Linked DNA regions of Drosophila melanogaster. The protein of the gene in region 1 purifies or fractionates together with the protein of each later gene. This does not show direct contact. Each region holds a gene or a part of one and is shown on either strand. Other genes may lie near its edges. The genes, in order: Cyp6a22 and orion.

What was found.
Region 2: the proteins of Cyp6a22 (region 1) and orion purify together in Drosophila melanogaster (affinity purification with mass spectrometry, with the first as the bait; one large-scale study listed by BioGRID). This does not show direct contact.

Annotation. Positions count from the first base shown.
Region 1 is NT_033778.4:14,869,582-14,873,983, reverse strand, and holds Cyp6a22 (cytochrome P450 6a22), read right to left. Parts: upstream 2,619-4,402; 5' UTR 2,455-2,618; intron 2,347-2,454; 5' UTR 2,182-2,346; coding exon 1,116-2,181; intron 1,049-1,115; coding exon 615-1,048; 3' UTR 519-614; downstream 1-518. Other genes in the region: Cyp6a17 (cytochrome P450 6a17), read right to left, coding at 1-4; Pcf11 cleavage and polyadenylation factor subunit, read left to right, coding at 3,753-3,935.
Region 2 is NC_004354.4:7,940,762-7,948,959, forward strand, and holds orion (orion), read right to left. Parts: upstream 6,148-8,198; 5' UTR 5,916-6,147; coding exon 5,646-5,915; intron 5,459-5,645; coding exon 5,135-5,458; intron 3,925-5,134; exon of another isoform or gene 3,533-3,924; coding exon of another isoform or gene 3,158-3,532; intron 3,088-3,157; coding exon of another isoform or gene 2,923-3,087; intron 2,467-2,922; coding exon 1,748-2,466; intron 1,684-1,747; coding exon 1,297-1,683; intron 1,238-1,296; coding exon 943-1,237; 3' UTR 717-942; downstream 1-716. Other genes in the region: Ubr3 ubiquitin ligase, read left to right, coding at 22-434, 495-653, 6,654-8,198.

The DNA.
Region 1 (4,402 bases):
ACATTTCACGTCCAGAGTCCAATACAAACTGACTTTAAAGTGGGATGCCACAACGCAAGCTCATTCGCGTATGAGGACTTCGCTCTTTTCGCCAATCTCTCATTTTCACACACAAAACTCACCGTTCAAGTTCTCTTAAGGTTTGTTCTCAATGTGATAAATAATAATTAGGGAATCATATGCGCAGTTAAAATGGTTGTATACACATATATGAACAAACAATCTATATACATACAATCTCTGTATATAAACAATCTAGCGATTACGCAATCAAAAAAATATAAACAAAGCGAATTCCAGTAATTTTTATTGCATTCTTTGCAAACTTGGTTTTTGCCAACGTAAATGTACAAATTAAGCATGAAACTTGGAAAACAGATTTCATTATTTAAAATCCCTGGAACTGGTGAAATGCTAAGATAACGTCAGTGACGAAATACAAATATTTAATCGAACAAATTAAGCTCAAGAAGCTTGATTAGATATACAGCAGTTTTACTGTACCTACTACGTTGATTGATAAAAACATTTGATTGTGTATTTGTATAACAGCATTGTAAAATGTAGATACTAAATGTTAGAATACAATCCAGATAGCGATTTAATAAGCAGCACTAACTACTCATTTGGCTAAGCTGTTGGACTTTTAAGTAAATTCCGTTGGCGGGGCACAGCAGAATGTTGGACTTGAGAAACTCAATTTTTGGGTCAGTTCGCGGACAGACGCTGAAGTGAAAGTTTCGGAGCAGACTGACCAGGCCAATGGTCGTCTGCATTTTGCCAAACCTCATTCCAATGCAATTTCGCGGTCCATCGCCAAAGGGCAGCCATGCGGCGGTGGGTCGCTGCGCCAGTTGATCGGCCAGAAAGCGCTCCGGGATGAACTTATGTGGCTCGGGATATAGGGCGGGATCATGATGGATGCCGTAGACCGGTATCAGTAGCATTTGACCCGGCTCGATGTAGAAATGACGATCGCCCTTGGCTGCGTAGAGATGCCTGGAGATCCGAGTGAGCTGCGGTAGTATGGGATACTTCCGAAGGGTTTCTAAAAGATACAGTGGTAAATGGTATCATCTTTGTAATATTTAAAATTCGTTTTGAGTCGGGCTCACCTGCTATGACCAGTTCCATGTACCGCAGCTCCTGCATGGAATCATATGTGAATTCACCGTTGTGTAACCGCAGAGCCTGGTCGATTTCCTCGCGTAGCTTTGCCTGCAGTGCCGGCTGCTTGGCCAACTCGTACAGGGCAAATCCTAGCGTTGATGCGGATGTGTCGAATCCCGCCGCAAAGAATATAAATGCCTGGGCGGCCATTTCCTCGATGGTGAGCTCACCGCGCTGCTTCATTTCGATCAGCAGGTTCATGAAGTCGCTCCTCACGATGCCCTGCTCCTCCCTCTGCTTCACAGTTTCCCGAACGATGCCCACATAGAAATCCGTAATGTCTTGATGGATTTGGCGCATGCGCAGAAACCTGGCCACTTCGGGGAAACTCTCTATAAATCCATCGACCAGCTTGCAGTGGCGACGCTCTGAAAAGGCTCTCCTGCCCATTATGGCGAACTCCGCCTCGGGATTCCGGAGGCCGTTGCATTCCACGCCAAAGGCACACCGTCCTATCACGTCCGAAGTGTAGCGAGCCATCAGATCACCGATCTCGAGGATTCCACACATGGCATTATCCGCCAACTCGCCACAAACTTGAGTAAGTTCCTCGCCCACCTCGCAGACCGTCGGAAACATATACTTCATCTTAGCTGAGGTAAAGGTGGGGGACATTTTCTGGCGCAAGGGTCGCCACTTGGGCCCGTCAATGCGGAATAGATGCCCAGTTAGAGGATCATCCCGCTCATTGTGATACATTCCCCGATCCTCAAAGTTGGCGAAGTCCTGTATGAGGATCTGTTTGGCCAGTTCCAGATCTGTGACCAAGACCACAGGTCTCAACATCATAAAAAATCCGGCAAAGGGTGCTCCATTGCCCTTGAACTTCTCATAGATTGGCGTTACAATGTCGATGAAATGTTTGTTTTTCCGAAATCCCTCCATATTCCCCACGGGAAACCGGGCCGGCTCACTGCCAATGCCCCGCCGGGTCCAGTAGCTATATCTCGTCCGCACGAACCAGAAGCCCACTGCCAGGGCAATAAGCAGTAGAGCCACTACATCCAGCATCCTCTCCCCGAATAGATTCACTATGAACTGAACACTGGACCAACGCCTCTATTCGCTCCGCTTACAATCAGCTGCAGTAGTGTAAACAGACCTAGGCAGATAACCTCGTCTCATAGAATTTAGGCGCACTGAAAACAAATCGAACTGAAGCTCGGACTTGACGAGCTTTTAACGGTGATTCAAGTTAATGCAATTGATATAGTGAGAGATAACTGTAGAACACCCGCCTTGAAGAAAAAGTCTATGCAATATATGCATTTATTCTCTGCTTACTATATGAGCGTAATTAAAAGTATGATAAGAATTTTGCATTTCTTATCTGTTTTTTTTCTTTCTTTTTTTATCTGATCTAATATCAGACTTATTATATAGTCTTCTTGAACTTCTCGACTATCAGATACCCGTTACTTGGCTAGAAGAAATGAAGTTAAAGAAACAATACTAATTTTCGGATCGCCCACTACCGCCACCTGGTGGTATATTAATTCAATTGGCAACGCCTATAAAATTAAATAGTGCATATTGCATTAAAACTAAATAAATAAAACACTTCTAACATTAATTTCTTTTTTAATTAGTTATACTGCAATTTTAAAGGCACTTTAAAATTTAACATTTCTAGTGGTTGGCAACGCGGTTTAATGCAAAAAATACCTTAATGGTATATTTTTAGTATATTTCCTTAAATAAAAATTGTATAAAATGTATAATTTCCATTTCACGTCGACGGCCACACTTTTAAGTGTAAGTCATCAAAAATACATCGCAGTTGTTACGTGAGAGTTTTCAAAAGCTAATTTTTATATAGTAGCAGTGCTTTTGTGAAATTTTTTCCTCGCAAAAGTGTCTGGCAGTGATTGTACAAATGTATTAGCTTAAAAAGGTATGTTTTTAAATGTTCTGCAGCGCGAAAAAGTAAATTGAAGTCGAACTGATAACTCGCGTGTGTATGTAGTGGTAACACAAACGTGGCTTTGTCTGGGAAAATCTCCGTTAAATCAATTTAAGCAACGAGATAGTTTCACTAAAACGTAAATATTTCGTGAAAGCGTGAAATGCGATGTACAGAAAGGAAAAACAAGCACTTTATTGGTTAATTTATTCGGGCAGGCCACACATGCGAAAATATGCTCATGGCCGCCATATTGAATTTTCGTCGTCATTCCGTACGTGTGTGTGTGTATATATGTAAGAGATTACCTTGTGTTTGTGGACGCGCGTGATTGTTTACGTCTGGTACGAATTACATACATAGATACGCTGTATACAGGATTATCTATCCACATAGTGCAGCCTAAGATTTCAGTGCATCACGGTTTATTACAAATAAAATGGGCAGAGATGAAGATATCGCTAACAAACATCGCAACCTTAATACATTATTCATCCAAAATATCCCGACAAAATCCCATTAATAGTGCAAACTTTTTCACACAAATTACCTTTGCTTTTCATGTCATTTAATTACTTTGTTATATTTTCCCTTGCAGTCGAAACATAGCAACTGCGACTACTTCAAACCAAATAACTTGATCAATATCCGGATCAAGATCTGGAATACAGAGTCCACAATGGAGCAGCTATTTCAGAATTACCGCGACGATGAGCGAAGGATCGGCGAGGAGTATCTGTCAAGTCTCCAGGACCTCAACTGCAACAGCAAGCCATTGATCAATATGCTCACGATGCTTGCCGAGGAGAACATCAACTACGCCCACATCATAGTTAAAGTGGTGGAATATTACATCAGCCAGGTTAACAAAACAAAAGCGTATTTACTTAAAAACAAAGACACTCCAGCTTACACACAGCTAATAGACGGTCGACACTAAAAGTGATTCTCCATATCGAAATTGTGATAGAATGTGCAGTTTATTGATTGCGGTTGCCCTTTGATTGCAGAGAAACCCAACGAAGGCCACACATATGCGTTTCTAAGACTCGGTTCTTTCAGTTGGGTTTTTCTGCAAACTCTTGGGCACAAATGGTAGATAGGTTCCTAATAATCTTAGTATATATCTCATAATTTGGGTTATAAACCGTGACTGATTTTAATCATCTACAAAGGTAAGAAGTTTAACCAACCTGCTCCTCGTTTCTTATTTCTTTCTACTTTGGATCCCAGAGTTTAAAGCTAAGGAATAACAAACAACCTTTAAAAAAATATTGAAAAATAAATAAAAAGAGAAAATGCTTAAACAATTGTCACCAAGTTGTCTTT
Region 2 (8,198 bases), on another chromosome or scaffold:
ACATTTCCATTTTTCGTTCAGATCCCAACAAGAATTTTCATTTCGTCATCGACTGCACGCGTCAGGTGATGAAGGACCACTGCTACTGGCCACTAGTCTCGGACTTTAACAACGTCCTTTCACACGAATCGGTGGCCCTGGTCTTTCTGCGGGACGACAATCTCATCGATATGTGGTTCCAGTTTCTCCAGATGCTCCAGGGCATGAATGTCAATGTGCGCGAGACGGCTTCTCATGTGGAATTCGAGCCAAATAGCTACTATGCGGCGTTCTCCTGTGAGCTTGAGGCCAGTGCCTATCCCATGTGGTCGATTATCTCGCATCTGCAGGATGGCACACATGCCCATCTGGCAAAGAAGATCATCAACTACTGTGTGACGACGCTGCACGAGTGGCTAGACTCTATTTACTTTATGGAGGCGCGTCTATCTATGGTTGGTATTTTCAATCCGTTTATTGCAGTTTCAATAAAATCCTTTTATTTATCCGTGCAGGAGGAGATGATGCAGGCTTCGTTCCACTTTCCCCTGCATCGTTATCTGGCTGCCTTTGTTTGCCAGGCGGTAACTAAAATGGGAATCAGTCTGAACGATGTGCTGCCCTCACGCCCCTATCTGCTGCCCCTGCTGATGATCCATCCACTTCGCGTCCAGGTGAGTCTTCAATCCTTTATTTCGCTTATTTTCGCTTTAAATAGTAAGAAGGTCCTCGGTTCTCTGGTTTCTCAGATTCACATTCGTTTTTATTTCTTTTGTTATTTTCAATATAATTTGTTTTTATATTCTTGTCTTGCCGGATTCTGCATCTCCTGCGGTTCGTTCTCCTCTGATCTCACTTAGACTATGCGACAGTTAAACGCAAGTGTGTATTGATAGGTAGTGTACAACTAAAAAAAAGCTATGACATATGTGCGGGATGGAAACAGCACCGCTTCTCTCCGCTTTAGAATCTATTCTTTGGCACCTGAACGTGGGGCATGAAGTCGTAGGTGATGATCTTGGGGCCCAGGAAGCCGCCGTAGCCGTTGCGGCCCTTGTAGTAAATGCCAATGCCGGCTAGTGGTACTGGTGGATTCGAGACCACGTCCTGGATGTCCATAAACGGCACTGTGCTCTGGGCGGCATCCTTGTCCAGTCCAGTGTTAGTGAAGTCGATGTACTGATTGTGGCGCGACAGAGGTATCGAGTGTGCTATTGTCCGCGTAGACACGTCGGCGTTGCTCAGACGCAGTTTCTCCCTGAAATCAAGGGGTTAGTTATTTAGTTTTTGCTATCCGAAAATAGAGGACACACTTACCTGCGTGCGCCGCTGACATCGGTATTGTCGTTGGACTTCCAATAGCTATTGTACTCCGGCCGGATGAGCTGACCCGTCCGGAAATCAAACTCACTGTAGTAGGCCTCCAAATTCAGATGTGTGCCCACCACACGGAATCGCACGCCGGTAACGACAAAGGAATTGTCATCCGTATCCACATCGTCCAGATCGATGGTGCGTTTCTCGTAGCTCAACTTATGATAATCAACGCCATTCTTCACATGACGATCAAAGACGTTGTACTTTTCCACGGGTTTCCATTCCAGAGTGCTTTGATTGACAATACCACGAGGCAGGAGTTCGCCCTCCTGGATTTGCAGATGGAAAATGCGATTTTGCTTTACAAAACGCAAACCAGTCACGACTCTGAAGAATAATTAGTAAATATGTGGTTGATATTTCAAAATCAACAGATTCAACTAGAACTTACCGGTTGCGCTTGACATCGGCGATCGTGTCCCGCAGATTGAAGAAACGATCAGACTTCAGACCCTCCTCGTCGCACAGGCAGAAGCAGTAGCTGCAGTGCCAGAGAAGGTAACGCCACCAGCTGTCCACCTTGGTGGTGCCCCTGGTGCACTTACCCCGCTGGCCAAGGACGCGTCCGTTTTCGTACTCGATGAACTCATAGCGCCGCGTGCTATTCTGTGGCGACGGGCACACCCACATGTCGGAGTCTACGAACCTGCAGTTGTACAGACGACCACTACATTTCGGCTGACGGGAACAGTAGAGATCCTTAAAGCAGCCTTCACTGCGGGTGGACTGATAAAAGTCACACGTCTCTCGGCAAGTTTCCTCTTTATTCAAATCCACCTCGTTTTCAATGTAGCCTTGAAGGAGGCGCGTGACCTCGTCATAGGTGACTCCCCGTACATGTTTCGTCGGATCACAGCGGTAAACGATACGATCAGCTCGTAGCATCACATCCTTGAGTATTTTTAGTGTGCGTTCCGTCCTCTTCTCATATTCGGAACGCATGATTTCCGCCTCCTGGGTGTAGTTGCCCTTCCCGTAGACCCGCAACATCATCCACGAGAATTCCATCATGGTGTAGGCTTTCAGTTCGGTCAGGGCTATATCCGCATATAGTGAGTATATAAACTGCTGGGCCGATTGCATGGTATTGCAAATTTGATCGGTAGACACCTGTAAGCAAGAAATTTGTTCATATTATTGCGAAATTCATTAATATGATCAATATTCAGCTGTTTTTTCCTTCTATCCATCTGGCATTCTTTACCAGGTAGTGTTACTCTTGTTTTTAGCTCTAATTAGCAAGCCATCACATCTGGCTGTTAAAATCTTTTCCATACCACTATTATTATTATTATAGAACGGTAATTACAGATCGCGTGGGGGTGTAAAATTAGCTATTGCATTTTGGAATCGTATAAAAAATATGATATCTAATGTTTTTACGAGAATTTAATTTGAAAATTACTACTTTAAAATGTGATCAGATATTGCGAGGTTTTTTTCGCTTTCAATAAGGAACAAGGGATTTCCTGTTTTGATTTTGTGCATATGTTTTAAAGTGCATATGATCACAACAATATTGTACGTATTGAAATTTTCATATTGCTGATGGGTGGGTTAACTAACTATCATGGCTCGGTAGTAGAGGGTCTGAGAAACCATCACTCGCTCGATTTCCTGCAGGATTCGTGGCATTGAGGCGGTGTTATCGTTGCGCAGGATTGCTCCGGCTAGATTTAAAACGGCAAGTTCATCCAGTTCGACGCTGTTGCTCTGCTTGACAAAGGTGTCCTATTCGGATAATTAGGAGTTAATATGTTATGATCTATCTAAAAAACAGCCCGTATAAGAGTCGAAATACCTTGTAGGCATCGTAAAGCTTGCTGATATAAATGAGATCCCTTTCCAATAGCGACCATTCGTAGTGATTGAGGATCTTGTAGCGATGCTCCTCGAAGGTGCGTCTCATTTGGGGTTTCGCATCGAAATCGCGATGCGAATCGTATACTTTCCTTATCTGTGTTTCCTTATTGTTTTGACTATTGGCCGTTTTGGCCAGATAATTCCACAGGGCGCGTTCCAGGGCGATGTATTCGGTGCGCAGAGCGTCCACTTCCATTTGTGGGGTGCTTGGGTGCATCCATCCCTCGGACGACGCCGATTTTGTATTTCCACAAATCACAAGCGTGACAAGAACAGCAACAACAGCAGCTAATAATCCGAAAGGCGGCGCCATATTTACTCGCCCGATAAGATATGTATCCAGCTAGCGAATATAAAATACGGGGATTTCCCTGTCCCTGTATTGTATCCCTGTATGTTTCCAATTTGTCTAGCCTTGGGTTTTCTGCTTCTTCTATTTATACTTCGTATTTGAGGTTTTACTTCTTTGCTGCTAATGAAAGGGCAAGGCAAGAAGAAGAGCAACAGCAGGGTGCACTGCTTGCTTTCCGCAACTTCAACTTCAACTTCCTTCAATTGGAAACAAAGAATCCGAGCCTCGTTTTAGAATGCTCGTCCTCGATACAGCTGAGATTTCACGATTTTTTATGATTTGCGATTTACTTTAATTCCCGCTCGCCTCTGCTGGGTGTTGTGGTTCTGAGTGCTGTTCAGCTACTGTAATTTTTCAGTTTCTGCTTTAAAGCGCTCCACGCTCAGCGATTGTTTGTTTGTGTCTGTGTGTGTGTGTAAGTGTTCGTGTTGATGTGTGCTCGTTGAAAATACAATACGAAAAAAAATTGCTGACTGAAGCTCTTTTTTCATGCATTGTTGTTGGTCTTTTAACAACCAGACGATATGAGAAGCGTAAACACACACACACACACAAAACACTTGTGCTTGTGTGAGCAGTAATCAGGAATTCAGCAAATTTCGTTTGATTTTTCGGTTTCACACACAGCAATAATACCCTACTCAGTTAGCTTAATTATTCAATCGACTGGAGATCATATTGGCACTTGCATACCTAGCAATCGATAACTAGAAAGTTGTGGCCGCATTGTTTTTGTTTCGGCTGACGTCTAATTGGTATGGCAAACAGCTGAGTGAGTGCGTTGTAAGCACTCTCCTTTCTCTCTTTCCGTTTTTTCGTGACGCAATGCACTCACAAAGAGATGCGCTCTCTGCTCTCTTTTTCGCAGCATGGGGGCAAAACTGCTGCATTGCCCTCAGGCGTTTGTTTGTGTATTTTTTGTTTTGTTTAACTTGTTTCGCAGTCTTTTGTTGACACAAGACCTTTGACCTCACACAAATAGTAGACGCACACACCCGCAAGAAATGGGAGCATTTGTGCGCCTTCCATGTGAGAGAGAGTGCGTGCAGAGGCCTTAACCGTTATTTGGCGACAAAAGAAACGGTGACTAATACACTGCAAGACTTTCTTTTGCCAAAAAAAAATGAGAAAAAAAGAACGACTTAACTGACGCGTCAACCGGAAAGTCGAGTTTACAATGCTTAAAACCTCGTGTCTAGACCTATATCATATCCCGGGCGAGCATCATTCGTGAATCATCCGGTTAACAGGCATGCAGGAAGCAATTCACAAATTGACACCCCAATCACAATCCGTATTTTTACAGTGAAGCATGCCTCAGCTCAAAGCACCCTACAATGTAATCAAAGCAAATGGTTGTTTACACTTTTCCTTTTTTCTGACTGTCTTCTGGGTTAATACGTTTTTTGGCTTAAAAATTTAGCTTCTTTTACAGTTATCCCAGTGGATGGAGCCGGTTGATAAAATGTCTTTCAAAATGACTCAAGCTAAAAATGCTCTTTAAGTTCGATGATCCCAAAATTTTCGCCTGTAATAAGCGTCATATCACATAAACTATATTACCTCATAGGCAGTGGCCAGCTGTTGGAGTAGATTGGTGGACGTTGTGTTGGAAGATCGATCCTCGTTGCCAAGTAGAGTGATATGCAGACGATCCATCAGATGGTGCACCGAATGTGCATTCGGCGACACTGTCCACTCCGCAAACGTTATCAGCGTGGACATCTCCAACTTGTCCTTGTAAGCCTCGTACTTCTGCATCTGCTGATAGCGCGATGAGATCCTATTGATCGTGTCCGAGATATCATTCATCTTAGCCATAATTGGAGCGTTGTTGTGCATGAAGCTAGTCACCGATTCGATGGCCAAGGCAACATATTGAGCGTGCTGAAGTGGGTTTTTTTGTGTGGGTTAGGTATACAGTTGATATGTGCCATGGTTGTTATACCCTTGCAGCATACAAGCGATTAGATCTATTATCTATGGTGCAAACAGCTCACCAAATTGGCAATGCCCACTGCAAGGGTACACAAAAGAAGAGCTAAAGAGCGGTCTTAGCTTGCCGCTGACTCACCTGATCTTCGGTATTGTCTATTTGCTTGCTGACTTCTTTGAGGCGCTGCAACACCTTCTTCTGTTTCTCGCGCATCAGTGGGAAATCAATGTTGGCCGCCAACGGGGAGGATTGTACAATGTCCCAGGCCTTGAGGACGCCGGAGGTGACCTCTTTGACCACATGTATGATGTCCAGGACATCCTCGATCAGAGCGTCCGTTAGTGTGGGCTGTTGCAGGGCGACCAACGTGGCCAGAAGCAGGGGAAGTACCCAATTTATAAATCTCATCCTGCAGCCGGCTGTGCGTGAGTGCTATTTGGGTTTCGTTTTGTATATGAATGTTTATTTATTTATTGCAGCGCGAAATTTGACGATCGTTGGGGATGTTGTGCTGACGATGGTGGGGTGTCTTTTAAATATTATGATTAAATGCTTGCACAAACAAGCAAACACACAGACAGACAGATAGACACGGGCTGGCACGCAACTGCGCCCGCTGAAAATCAAAACGCAAATGGGAGGATAGTCACAAAAACAGAGAGTCGAGTTTTGTCTCGAGCTCGAGCGTCGAGTTTCGACGACGTTGGCAGATTAATCTGCTGTGCTGCTCTCGCCGCTCGGAGATTGATTAAAAAATCGTACAGTTGTGGGTTTCACTTGTCTCTTTTCCTTCTTTTTCCGCCGCCTGTAGACACCCTGTTTCACACACAGACAGACACAAATATGCGGAGAGACGGGCTCTGTTTCTTTGTTTTGCACCGTTCTTTGTCGGTTGTCGGGGAAGGGGGAGGGGCAGATAGACAGCATAGGTCACAGCGAGTTTCGATAACTTTGTCTGCTCGCAAGTCATCGATGTTTCATAACTATCGCACTCGCTGGTGTACGGTTACTTAATTTTTTTTTATTTTTATTAATTTTAAATAAAGATTATGTGCGTGAAATAATTTTTTATATTTAAGAGAATAGAATAAAATTTGTATATAAAATTAAATTTAAATGTTAAATTTATTTTTACTTCGTTTTTAGAGTTTTTTCTACGAGATCCTGGCCGGAAAATGGGTGCGCAATGGTCTCCAAATCAAGGGACAAGCGATGACCTATATCCAGGCGAACTTCTGCAACTCGATGGCCGACATGGACCTGTTCTTCCTGCAAATCTGTGCCACCAACCTGCCGCAGTACTTCTTTCTGCAGAACACCATCGAGTTGTTCGACGTAGGTCAATGGCTGGAGACAGCTCCCTTGAAGCAGCCTCAAAAGGCGGAGCAATCCTCGATGCTGGAGGGATTCCTAACCTTCTTGGCCACCCTGGTGACGAGTCGCACTAATCTGGGAAACGATGAAGCCACCCAATGCATTATTGAGATCAGTGCCTTGTTGGCTACCGAGAACAAGACGCATTCGCAGCTCCTTGAACTAATGCCGGAGCGGTCGGGCAATGTGCATACCAAAAACTTTGAGACCTTCCTTAAGAAGCTATCGGTTTACAAGGCTCCGTCGAGTGGGAGCGAGAACCTGGAGCAGGGTCTCTTCACGCCCATCGACGAGGTGTGGGAGAAGCACTACGATCCGCTGCACGTCCTTTTGCGAGCAGTTCATCGTCGAGACTTTCAATCATCGCTGGACCGCTTTACAAACTATGTGAAGAGCAAGGATAAGATGCCGGCAAGTGGTAACCTATGGCCACCCTTCCGATTGCCTCATGCTCTGCCCGCAACGAGCTCCTTCAGTGATCCCTGCAAGATTTTGAACTCGCGCATCTTTCACTCCACCATCCTGTCGATATTTTTCCGTGCAGTTCACACACGTGATGTTTCCGAGCATCTGCTGGCTCTGGCTGTGTTCCTCTTAGAGATTGCTGTGGAAACAAGTGATGATGTTGGCAGTGGAACTGGAGATCGGGCCCCTCCTGCGCTGGCTGCTGTGGTGGAGTCATCTAGCGGGCCGGGCTATCATGGCTACGGCACGGGACGGCATGAGCCGCCCAAGCTTTTCCACTGCTATCCCACGGACAATCTAAGCTGCAATCTGCGCCACGTGGTCAAGAAAGTGTCGCTGAAGTCACGCGATCCGCAAGTGATCACCTCCAGCTATCGGTCGAACCCATTTTACTCAGATCTGGACTTTGAGGTTGAAGCGGATCCAGAGCAATCGATGCGCATGATTGGTCAAGGGGACCCCGAAGGAGATGAGGCAACGGGTGGAGCTGGACTGGGAATGGGAGCTCATAGCAGAAGGAATGTCTCTCAGGCGCTGGTGCCGATGAGAGTGCCCGGCATGGAGGTCGCCCTACCACCGGATCTTTCAGTAGTTGCCGAAACCGGTGTGGTTATCCGCCAGGATAGCAACGAAGATGATCTACTGAGAGAAGGCAATCATGCCATGGATATGAGTCCACCGGCTGCTCTCGATTTCCACTTTCCGCTGCAGCAGATCACTTTGCCGGAGAGCGGAATGGAGGTGGCTATTCGGAGAGATCTTCTGCTAGCCGAAACGAATAATATGGGCGCAATTGCAGGTGGAGCTGGAGGTGGCGCCAATGCATCGGCCACACCACCAGCAGGGGCTTCC